Linked DNA regions of Macaca fascicularis. The protein of the gene in region 1 binds, or shares a complex with, the protein of each later gene. Links are inferred from orthologs where the notes say so. Each region holds a gene or a part of one and is shown in the gene's direction. Other genes may lie near its edges. The genes, in order: OBSL1, MYOM1 and CCDC8.

Region 1 (3,745 bases):
AGGGCTTATCCATCCAGTCAGTGAAACAAGGGGACGCACATATGTCGAGACAGGAACTCAAGAGAAGATAGACTAGTTTTCCAGAAAAGTTTCCCAACTAATCTTTTGCCTGTATCTCTGATAGCTTCTCAGTCTCAGCTACCTGGGAGTAAAGAAACAGGGTCTGGAGCAGCGAGCAGAGGCAGAGATAGGAGGAAAGGTGGCAGGAAGGGGCCCAAGCCCAGACATCTCCATCTCTAGAGACCCCTGGTCTCCCAGCGCATACCTCCCAAATGCCTCCCACCTGCCATGCACTCTAGGTACAGCCTCTCACTTAATCCTGAGAGGTTGGCGTTATCACGCATTTTACAGATTGGGAGACAAGAGGCATAAGGAGGTTTAATAACTGGCCTATTGTTGCAAAGCCACTGAGTGGTAGGGCTGGGATTCAAACCCAGGTCCACCTGGCCCGCAAACCCATGCTGTGCCTTGCTGCTTCTCAAAGTCACCCTGCCAGTTCCCCCACCTCGTTACCTGTGGCTGGGAAAAGGATGGCCTGGGAGACATCCTCCTCCTCCGTGGGCTCAGAGCCCCTGCGTGTGAAGCCCCCCAGGGCATGTCTTCGGAGCAGCCGCCTGACTCCAGGGTCCCCACCTTCCCTGGTCACCACGGGGGACCCCAAGGCATCCAGGAACAGGGCCCTCACCTTGGCCAGAACAAGCTCCCGGGCCAGCTCCGGCCCTTGGCAGCTGTGACCACCCTGTGGGGCCAGCAGCAAGAAGAGCAGTAGGGGCAGCACCATAGCTCACCTGGCCCTGCTAGCGGGGAACCCACACCCTCCCCCGTGCCCTTTCTGCCAGGGTCTGCCCAGGGCAGCTCCACTCTCCCCATCCCACACCCACCCTCTTCTACCCTTCTCACCCAGTCTTCTCCAGTCCTTTCCACGCCCCACAGTCCGAGTTGCCCCTGCCCGTGGCATTGAAACCTCCTATCTCTGACGCAGATGTCTGTGGCCATGAGCCTTATCTCCCACTCCCGCCAGGGATGTTGGGGAGGGACTGGGGAGGATTTCGCCCCAAGCGACCTGACTCATACAAGCAAACATTACAACCCCTTCTCCTACACACACACACACACACGCACACACGCACTCTCTCACACACACACACACATCCAGAGGTTTACATCAGGTGGGACAGGAGCCTGGGAGCTGCAGCCGGCCAGCCCCGGAAAGTGTCATTTGTCAGGGAGACACAGTGCACCACCCCTCAGACCTTCTGGGGCCCCTTTCAATAAGCAGCTGCTGGGCCGGCCAGCCCTTGGGGGAAGGGCTGGAGCCGGGGCTAGAACCGGGGCTAGGGCCGGGGGCAGGTGGTCCTGCCTGCTCTATACTTAGCCCAGTGGAGCCAGTCTGGGCTCTTGTCCTCCAGCTGTGTCATCAGAGAATATTTTTGGGATTGGCAGCTGCAGGCGCCTCTGCCACTCAGGCCCAAGCCTGGCGGGAGGCTAGGGACCTGGCGGCTGGAGGTGGGAGGGAGGAGGGGGAAGAGGCCCAAGCTGTGGGAGGGGGCTGGGAAGAGAGGCTCCCAAGAGCAGGAAGCCAGGCAGCGGGCAGGAGAGGCTGCGGGGCCCCTCGCTGGAGAGGCAAACAGGAAGGACTGCCCCCTGAGCGCCAGGCTTCGGCCCGGGAATCGCCGCCGCCGCCGCAGAGCTGCAGCTTGGGGCCGAGGGTAAGGAGGCGAGCCGGGAGCAGGAGGCCCGGGAGAGCTTCGCGGGTACCCGCGCCTGGTCCGCAGCCGCGCCCCGGCCCCGCCGCCCCTGGCCTCTGCTCGCCCTCGGCCCACCCTCCCCGTTGGCCGCTGCAGGCGGTCTGAGACAGCTGCGATGAAGGCGAGCTCAGGGGACCAGGGGAGCCCCCCGTGCTTCCTGCGCTTCCCGCGGCCGGTGCGGGTGGTAAGTGGCGCCGAGGCGGAACTCAAGTGCGTGGTCCTGGGGGAGCCGCCACCGGTAGTGGTGTGGGAGAAGGGCGGGCAGCAGCTGGCGGCCTCGGAACGCCTGAGTTTCCTGGCGGACGGCGCGGAGCACGGCCTGCTGCTGAGCACCGCACTGCCTACCGACGCCGGGGTCTACGTGTGCCGCGCCCGCAACGCGGCGGGCGAGGCCTACGCGGCGGCCGCTGTCACCGTGCTGGAGCCACCGGCCTCCGAGCCCGAGCCGCAGCCCGCCGAGCGCCCGCTGCCACCGCCGGGGTCCGGGGAGGGCGCCCCGGTCTTCCTCACGGGGCCCCGATCCCAGTGGGTGCTAAGGGGGGTGGAGGTGGTGCTGACGTGCCGGGCGGGGGGCCTCCCTGAGCCCACGCTGTACTGGGAGAAGGACGGGATGGCCCTGGACGAAGTGTGGGACAGCAGCCACTTCGCGCTCGAGCCCGGCCGCGCCGAGGAGGGCCCCGGCGCGAGCCTGGCGCTGCGCATCCTGGCAGCTCGGCTGCCGGACTCCGGCGTCTACGTGTGCCACGCCCGCAACGCGCACGGCCACGCGCAGGCGGGGGCGCTGCTCCAGGTGCACCAGCCCCCTGAGAGCCCGCCCTCGGACCCCGACGAGGCCCCCGCGCCCGTGGTGGAGCCGCTCAAGTGCGCTCCTAAGACTTTCTGGGTAAATGAGGGCAAGCACGCCAAGTTCCGCTGCTACGTGATGGGCAAGCCCGAGCCCGAGATCGAATGGCACTGGGAGGGCCGCCCGCTGCTCCCGGACCGCCGCCGCCTCATGTACCGCGACCGCGACGGCGGCTTCGTGCTCAAGGTGCTCTACTGCCAGGCCAAGGACCGTGGGCTCTACGTCTGCGCCGCGCGCAACTCGGCAGGCCAGACGCTCAGCGCGGTGCAGCTGCACGTGAAAGGTACGGCGGCGCCCGGGGCCTGGGGAGGGGCCTCTCGTGTCCTCCGAGGCCCTCCGAACACCAGCCCTCCTCGGTGCGCAGCACTGCCCCGAAGACTGGAAGAGAGGAGGTCCGCGGCAATATTAAAATATCAAACCCGCCCGCCTCCCGCTCTCCAGGGATTCGGATTTACTAGGTCTCCCGGGTACTCAGGAACTTCTTAGCAAACTCCCCAAAAGATTCCGAGGCAGATGGTGGAACACCACTAAGGAGTGATTGATGTACAAACCTGGAGGGCGGTAGAACTCTTCTCCCCTAGTGGTTTTCAACGTCTTTGTTATTTTACTTCTCCTTCCCCAACTGAATTCACAACCAGAGTCCCAATATATGAGACAGATAAAGGAGTATTTTGTGGGCCTAAATTGCTAAGTCTGCTTGTATAACAGGTACTTCTAAAGCATCAGTGAGAATAAGGAGGCTATTTTATTGAATACAGGCATTTGAAGTGAAGACTGCATTCATGAGTCCAGGCTCTGAACCCTGTGGGAACAGCCTGGGTGCGTCTGTCACCTTGAGAAACAAGTGATTCAGTAGAAAGCTAGACAAGGGAGGACAAATGTCCTGTGTGTTTTTACTGTTCTTTGATTAAACTACTCCCCACGTTTGCAAGAAGAGGAAGGTGAAGGAGAGAAGGTTTATATTTCAATGTTGAATCACCAACAATATCCAATAAACGCTTACATTCTCATAAACAGAAAATTCAAAGGGAAAAAAAAAAAGCACACCCCAAACTCACCATTAGGTAACGCTCCCCATAATAGGATTTCATCACAATGCAAAGGATTATACCTTCACTAGTTATTGTCCAGATTTTTCTCTTGGAGGAAAAAA
Region 2 (3,645 bases), on another chromosome or scaffold:
AGCCTAATCCAATGAGTGCCCAAGATTATTGTTGTTGATGTTATAGCGCCTGGCAGAGTGAGACATTAGCATGTTTCTGGTCCACCCTCAGAAGGCTTTGGAGAGCTCAAGGCGACTTTGGGGAAGATGGGTTTGAACCTCCGTGCAGTTATACAGGGACTCTATTCAAGTTAGCTTCCGGGATTCCAAGAGCTGAAATCAGTTTCCAAATCAAACCAGGCCTCCCGTTTACACTCTTGACAGTGTCCTTAACCTCCGTGCTTCCTTGAAATATCCTGAGCTGAAAGAGAACCGAGGCCTGGCATAGATAATCTGATGGAGTGTAGCCACCTTCAGTCCAACCTCAGGATGCAAATGTTCCAAAGTGCAAATGTTCCTAGGAGCCCCACTGAGAAGAAGGTCCCGTGGCATCCCCAGGAGGGTACAGATAGTAAGTTTCCCCACCCTGTACCCTCAGTGGCATTGACAGTATGGGGGTCGCTGCTGAAAGCCCTTTACGTATGTGAATTCATTTCACATTCACCACTCTGCGTGGGAGGTGCTCCTCCCTTGAGGGATGAGGAAGCTAGGGCTCGGGGAGGTGACCTGCCTAAGGTCACACAGCTAAGAGGTGGGTCAAGGCTGAGCCTAGGCAGCCTGGCTCCAGAGCCCGGTTCATCATGGCACTACCTACCACTGGATTCCAGCTGCGTGAAGTCTAGACTAGAGGTCCCCAAACCCCAGGCCATAGACAGGTACCAGTCCGTGGCCTACTAGGAACTGGGCCATGTAACAGGCGGTGAGTGGTGAGCGAGGGAGCGAGCATGACCACCTGAGCTCCGCCTCCTGTCAGATCAGCTGCGGCATTAGATCCTCACAGGAGCGCGAACCCTATTGTGGACCGCGCATGTGAGGGATCTAGGTTGTACGCTCCGTGTGAGAATCTGATGATCAATGTTATGTGCTTGAGTCATCCCGAAACCCTCCCCCTACCTGGTCTGTGGAAAAATTGTCTTCCACGAAACCGGTCCCTAGTGACAAAAAGGTTGGGGCCCACTGGGCTAGATTGAACAGTTAGCCAGAGCCAGGTGCCGCAAAGCAGCCATTTGTGTTTTCTTTAAGATGACTTTACTGTTATGTAAAACAGTGTTTTCGCTAGTATTATGATTTATTATTAACTGAGTCATAAAAATGAGAATTGGTGAAATTCCAGTGTCGAATGTTGGGGCTTATTCCTTTGTTCTGTTTCTTTCAGAATACATTTTAGGAAAGTAATTATAAGCTAAAATAGATCAAATTCCAGGAAATTCCTCTGTGACATCTAGGACATTCTAATATACCAGTCTGAAGTGTCAGAGAAGTAAAATTCATTGAATCATCAATCAAAAAGCTTTATATCTTCTCTAAAAGAATTACTTGTTCAAAAATGAGAACACTGAAAGGATGTTTTGAGGAAATTGCTATTAGACCAGCAAAGCATAAGCATCTTAATTATTTGGTCTAGTCAACCACTTGAGCCTCCATAAGTGTTGTTTTTGGACTAGCTTGTGAAATCTGATTTACAGCCATAGATTATCTAGATGAAATATACAGTAAAATAATATGTAGTTTGGCCTTTTAGCTTTATAGATTACCCTAGTCCTACAAATAAATCCAAACTAAAACAAAGATAATAATACCACTGAGAAGTATTAGTATTGTGATTTGCCCTGGGCCTCAGACTGCTATGAGGAGTTATTAATAAATAAATATTCCGACCGTCAGAACTTGGGCCTTGGAATCCCAGTTCTGTGTGTCATGGCCCATAATTTTTCTGAAGCAGAAGAATAACATATGCAGATCCCTCGCTTTTTGCAAGCCTATAAAACTTTACGGCAAGAGCTTCAATAAGAGACAAAGTCAAGATCAGCCCTGGATGGAAGCAAACGCTAAGGAAGTTTTCTTCGGTTTTCACAGTGGGGCCGCCATTAGGTACTCAGACAGAGTTAAGACCGGGGTCACTGGAGAGCAGATCTGGCTACAAATCAATGAGCCCACCCCGAATGACAAAGGGAAGTACGTCATGGAGCTCTTTGATGGCAAAACTGGACATCAGAAGACAGTGGATCTTTCTGGACAAGGTAAACAGATATTTTGCAGATTCAAATTTACTCTGGATGAATGAGCCTTTTAAAAGAAATGAAGGGAGCTGGGCATGGTGGCTCATGCCTGTAATCCCAACACCTTGAGAGGCCAAGGCAGGAGGATGGCTTGAAGTCAGGAGTTCAAGACAAACCTGGGCAGCATAGTGAAACCTCATCTCTAAAAAAAAAAGTAGCTGGGCAAAGTGGCACACACCTGTAGTCCCAGCTACTTTGGGAGGCAGGCGAATCAGTTGAGCCCAGGAGTTCAAGACCAGCCAGCCTGGAGCAATATAGCGAAACCCCGTTTCTATAAAATATATAAATAAATAAATAATAAAAAATACTCAGTTATAAGTAAAAAGTTAAAAAATACTGGGCCATTTCTCCCTTTCCCAGAACTATACTCTTCATCCTATTCTTTCTTACAAAAGTAAAATAGTCTGCTGGTATGGTGGCCTTTAATCCTAGCACTCTGGGAGGCCAATGTGGGAGGATCACTTGAGGCCAGGAATTTAAGACCAGTCTGGGCAATATAGTGAGACCCCAGCTCTTCAAAAATAAAATTTTAAGAAATTAGCCAGGTGTGGTGGCGTGGTGGCTTATACCTATAATCCCTACTGCTCAGGAGGCTGAGCTAGGATGATCACTTGGGTCCAGGAGGTTGAGGCTGCTGTGAGCCAAGATCACACTGCTATACTCCAGCCTGGGCAACAGAGCAAGATTCTGTCTCTAAAAAAATTAAAAATAAATAAAATAAAATAGTCTATACTGTGTTAAAGTTAATAAAGACAGCTGTGGACTGACTTTTCCTCTACTCCTTCATTTTAAAATACAACCTCAGGTGGGCATGGTAGCTCACACCTGTAATCCTAGCACTTTGGGAGGCTGAGGCAGGTGGATCACCTGAGGTCAGGAGTTCGAGACTAGCCTGACCAACATGGTGAAACCCGTCTCTACTAAAAATATAAAAATTAGCTGGCTGTGGTGGCACATGCCTGTTACAGCTACTCGGGAGGCTGAGGTAGGAGAATCATTTGAGCCCAAGTGGCAGAGGTTGCCATGATTCGAGATTGCGCCACTGTACTCCAGCCTGGGCTACAGAGCGAGACTCTGTCAAAAAATAAAAAATAAAAATAAATAAATAAATAAATACAACCTCAATATTCAGTAACTCAGGTTCTTTCAACCTCAGAGAGCAGATTCGTCATTTAGAGCGTAGCCCTTCAGCCCTGCTTTGAGTGTTTTTGGGGCTGAATCCCCTTGTCTTCACCGCACCCACTCACGGTGACTAGAAGGACTCTCCGCAGGACCCACAGTAACGGGAGCAGCCGGCCCAGAGGGACGCAGGCTTTCTAGGACACACTTGGCCTGCGTCACCAGCGCACGGCGACCGGGGATTTCTTCCACTCTCCGTCTGACAGTGTGAAACACAACCGAAAAAGGGAGGCAGTAAGGGGGTGGAAAAAGTTAAAATTTTTAAAATGTTATTTTTACTCTCTGGTCCACCAAAGCTTATTTAACTACCCCACTCTGAAATCCTTTT
Region 3 (3,719 bases), on another chromosome or scaffold:
TAAGATACTACCATAAAATAGAGGCAGTATCTACTCATGAACTTTTAGGCTTTTTTGTTGTTGTTTATTTGTGGGGTTTTTTTGGTTTTGTTTTTTGTTTTTTTTTTTTTTTTTTTTTTTTTTTTGTTTTTGTTTTTTTGAGACAGAGTCTCCCTCTGTTGCCCAGGCTGGAGTGCAGTGGCGCCATCTCTGCAACCTCCACCTCCCGGGTTCATGCCATTCTCCTGCCTCAGCCTCCCGTGTAGCTGGGACTACACACGCACACCACCACACCCGGCTAATTTTTGTATTTTTTGTAGAGACGAGGGTTTCACCATGTTGGCCAGGCTGGTCTCGAACTCCTGGCCTCCAAGTGTTCCACCCGCCTAGGCCTCCCAAAGTGCTGGGATTACAGGCATGAGCCACCGCGCCTGGCTATGAACATTCAGGTTTATTCATCCACTCAAAAATATGTAGAGCCCTGACCTCCTGCCAAGCGTCACAGGGGGACTGTTGCAATAAGATCCCGGTACCCATTTCTCTACCCACGCGTCTGGGTGTACGGGTACGGATAGTCGCGTGAATTTAAAATGCTAATCTATGGTGCCAGTGGCTCTCAAAAGGTAGAATCCACTGGCACACCCACCTCCAGGACTTGGCTGGAAACTTGTACATTTCGGATGGCAGGTTTGGGAACCGCTGCCTTTCAGCAAAGGTGCTGACGTGGGCCACCGCCGCTTCGCTGGGAAGCAATGGGCCCAGCTAGGCCCCAGGCGCGGCCACACCCCTGTGGGGGAGGGGAAGGAGGCTGCCCCGAAGAGAGTGGACAGCCCCCCTGTCAGTCTTCCAGAGTCTGGGAGTGTAAGATGAGACGGGGGAAGGTGGGCCTCATTCTGGCGGAGGGCAAGGAGGAACTTCCTGCTGGTGCGCTCCACCGTGCAGAGCCCTAAGCGCGCGGGCTGGCAGGCTGCGGCGCGTCAAGGTCAGCCTGGAGCTGGGTGGTGGCCTGCCTGGGGGCGGGGGACCCTACTGGGGGGCCGGGCTGAGGCCTCTCAGCGCCTCCGCCATATTGAATAGCCTCGACTGGACCGTCTTTGTCTGCGAAGTCCTCTCCCAAGTTCCAACCGCGTCCCAGGGGCCTGGGGCAGGAAGAATCGCTGGCAGCCCGCGCGCCCCAACTTGGAGCCGGGACACCACGTTTCCAGCTTGGAGTGGGCCTTGAACCTTGGGACTGACCTCGCCCCCGGCTCACGTAGGCATCCTGGAAATTGATTCTCCCAAGTCCTTGGTGGAGGAGCCGGACTTGGTCAAGACTGGACTTGTTGCAGGAGAAGAGATTGGAGGCGTTGACTCGTCCCTGGCTGGGGAGGTGAGACTCTGCGGTCAGCGTTGCTGGGACTCCCCCCATCCAGTCCCTCCCTCAAGACTAAGGGCTACAGTAGTTTGTTGGGGCTCTTTGCTCCCTCACCCCAGATATCACCCTGGAGATCTTAAAGACTCTCGAGAAAAGCCACGTGGGGGGCTGGTTCCCCTGGGGCTTCCTCCCGTCCCCCGACTGCCTCATTCTTTGGAGCGTCCCCGATGTCTGCAAAGATGTGGATTTGGACGTCCTCGTGGAAGCCCTAAAACCCGTGGGAACATTTAAGAAGATCGGCAAGGTGTTCCGCAAGGAGGAGGACTCCACGGTGGGGATGCTGCAGATCGGGGAGGACGTCGACTATTTGCTCATCCCCCGGGAGGTCAGGCTGGCCGGGGGCGTCTGGAGAGTCATCTCTAAGCCTGCCACCAAGGAAGCAGAATTTCGGGAGCGGCTGACCCAGTTCCTGGAAGAACAGGGCCGCACCCTGGAGGACGTGGCCCGCATCATCGAGAAGAGCACCCCGCACCCGCCCCAGCCCCCCAAAAAGCCCAAGGAGCCCCGAGTGAGGAGGAGAGTGCAGCAGATGGTGACTCCTACGCCCCGGCTGGTCGTGGGCACGTATGACAGCAGCAACGCCAGCGACAGCGAGTTCAGCGACTTCGAGACCTCCAGAGACAAGAGCCGCCAGGGCCCGCGGCGGGGCAAGAAGGTGCGCAAAATGCCCGTCAGCTACCTGGGCAGCAAGTTCCTGGGAAGCGACGTGGAGAGCGAGGATGATGAGGAACTGGTGGAGGCATTTCTCCGGCGACAGGAGAAGCAGCCCCCCGCGCCGCCTGCCCGCCGCCGCGTCAACCTGCCAGTGCCCATGTTTGAGGACAACCTGGGGCCTCAGCTGTCCAAGGCGGACAGGTGGCGGGAGTATGTCAGCCAGGTGTCCTGGGGGAAGCTGAAGCGGAGGGTGAAGGGTTGGGCGCCGAGGGCGGGCCCCGGGGTGGGCGAGGCCCGGCTGGCCTCCATCCCAGTGGAGAGCGCAGGGGTATCCTCCGGCACCAGCCCCGGGGATCCCGGGGATCCTGTGGAAAATGTGGGAGATGTCTGTGCCCCGCAGGCCTCCCCTAGGCGATGGAGGCCCAAGATCAACTGGGCCTCGTTTAGGCGCCGCAGGAAGGAGCAGACAGCGCCCACAGGTCAGGGGGCAGACATCGAGGCTGATCAGGGGGAAGAGGCTGCAGATAATCAGAGGGAAGAGGCCATAGCTGACCAGGAGGAAGAGGCTGCAGGTAATCAGAGGGCAGGGGCCCCAGCTGACCAGGGGGCAGAGGATGCAGATAACCATAGGGAAGAGGCTGCAGATAATCAGAGGGAAGAGGCCATAGCTGACCAGAGGGAAGAGGCTGCAGGTAATCAGAGGGCAGGGGCCCCAGCTGACCAGGGGGCAGAGGCTGCAGATAACCATGGGGAAGAGGCTGCAGATAATCAGAGGGCAGAGGCCCCAGCTGACCATAGGCCACAGGGTGCAGATAACCTGAGGGAAGAGGCTCTAGCTGACCAGGGGTCAGAGGCTACAGATCCTCAAAGGGAAGAGGCCATACATGACCAGAGGGAAAGGGCCCCAGCTGTCCAGCGTGCAGGTAATCAGAGGGCACAGGCCCGGGCTGGCCAAAGGGCAGAGGCTGCACATAATCAGAGGGCAGGGGCCCCAGGTATCCAGGAAGCTGAAGCCTCAGCTGCCCAAGGGGCCACAGGAACAGCTTCAGGAGCCAGGGCCCGGAAACAGGTCAAGACAGTGAGGTTCCAGACCCCTGGACGCTTTTCGTGGTTTCGCAAGCCCCGGAGAGCCTTCTGGCACACTCCCCGGTTGCCAACCCTGCCCAAGAGAGTCCCCAGGGCAGGCGAGGCCAGGAGCCTCAGGGTGCTGAGGGCCGAGGCCAAAGCAGAAGCTGAACAGGGAGAGCGAGAAGACCAGCTGTGAGGTGAGGGCTAGAGACAGCCCACGGGCCCTCCCTACAAGCGTGGGAGAGAAAGTTGCTCTTTCTGCCTCTGAACTTGAAAGTGGAGTTGGAGTGCTGCCCACATCTCCACCTTACAACCCTCTTTATTCTCTTGTTAAAGTTTTGTCTCATGCGTTGATTTTTAAAAAATTTTTTAGAGACAGGGTCTCACTCTGTTGCCCAGGCTGGAGTGCAGTGGCATGATCACTGCAGCCTCAAACTTCTGGCCTCAACTGATCCTCCTGCCTCGGCCTCCCAAAGTGCTGGGATGACAGGTGTGAGCCACCACACGTACCACCTGATAAAATATATATATATATATATACACACACACACACACACACATATATATACTGATTCCTTGTAGCAACCCAAAAAATGTAAAGAAA

What was found.
Region 2: the proteins of OBSL1 (region 1) and MYOM1 are in contact, whole or in part, in a crystal structure (PDB 5FM5), measured with the Homo sapiens proteins. The link is inferred for Macaca fascicularis from reciprocal best matches to the Homo sapiens genes OBSL1 and MYOM1. Residues at the interface, in NP_056126.1 of Homo sapiens: Pro243, Lys253, Phe255, Val257, Asn258, Gly260, Lys261, His262, Ala263, Lys264, Phe265, Arg266, Cys267, Tyr268, Val269, Met270, Gly271, Lys272, Pro273, Pro275, Trp279, Lys305, Tyr308, Tyr317, Cys319, Ala321, Arg322, Asn323, Ser324, Ala325; in NP_003794.3 of Homo sapiens: Arg616, Pro617, Ser618, Ala619, Pro620, Trp621, Thr622, Gly623, Gln624, Ile625, Ile626, Val627, Thr628, Glu629, Glu630, Glu631, Pro632.
Region 3: OBSL1 (region 1) and CCDC8 share a complex: the UniProt entries of both Homo sapiens proteins name them as parts of the 3M complex. The link is inferred for Macaca fascicularis from reciprocal best matches to the Homo sapiens genes OBSL1 and CCDC8.

Annotation. Positions count from the first base shown.
Region 1 is NC_088386.1:115,501,906-115,505,650, reverse strand, and holds the start of OBSL1 (obscurin-like protein 1), read left to right. Parts: upstream 1-1,558; 5' UTR 1,559-1,863; coding exon 1,864-2,875; intron 2,876-3,745. Other genes in the region: INHA (inhibin alpha chain), read right to left, coding at 514-739, 901-996. UniProt on the Homo sapiens protein: Core component of the 3M complex, a complex required to regulate microtubule dynamics and genome integrity. It is unclear how the 3M complex regulates microtubules, it could act by controlling the level of a microtubule stabilizer.
Region 2 is NC_088392.1:71,676,627-71,680,271, reverse strand, and holds part of MYOM1 (myomesin-1), read left to right. Parts: intron 1-1,935; coding exon 1,936-2,099; intron 2,100-3,645. UniProt on the Homo sapiens protein: Major component of the vertebrate myofibrillar M band. Binds myosin, titin, and light meromyosin. This binding is dose dependent.
Region 3 is NC_088393.1:54,435,043-54,438,761, reverse strand, and holds the start of CCDC8 (coiled-coil domain-containing protein 8), read left to right. Parts: upstream 1-869; 5' UTR 870-1,670; coding exon 1,671-3,311; 3' UTR 3,312-3,719. UniProt on the Homo sapiens protein: Core component of the 3M complex, a complex required to regulate microtubule dynamics and genome integrity. It is unclear how the 3M complex regulates microtubules, it could act by controlling the level of a microtubule stabilizer.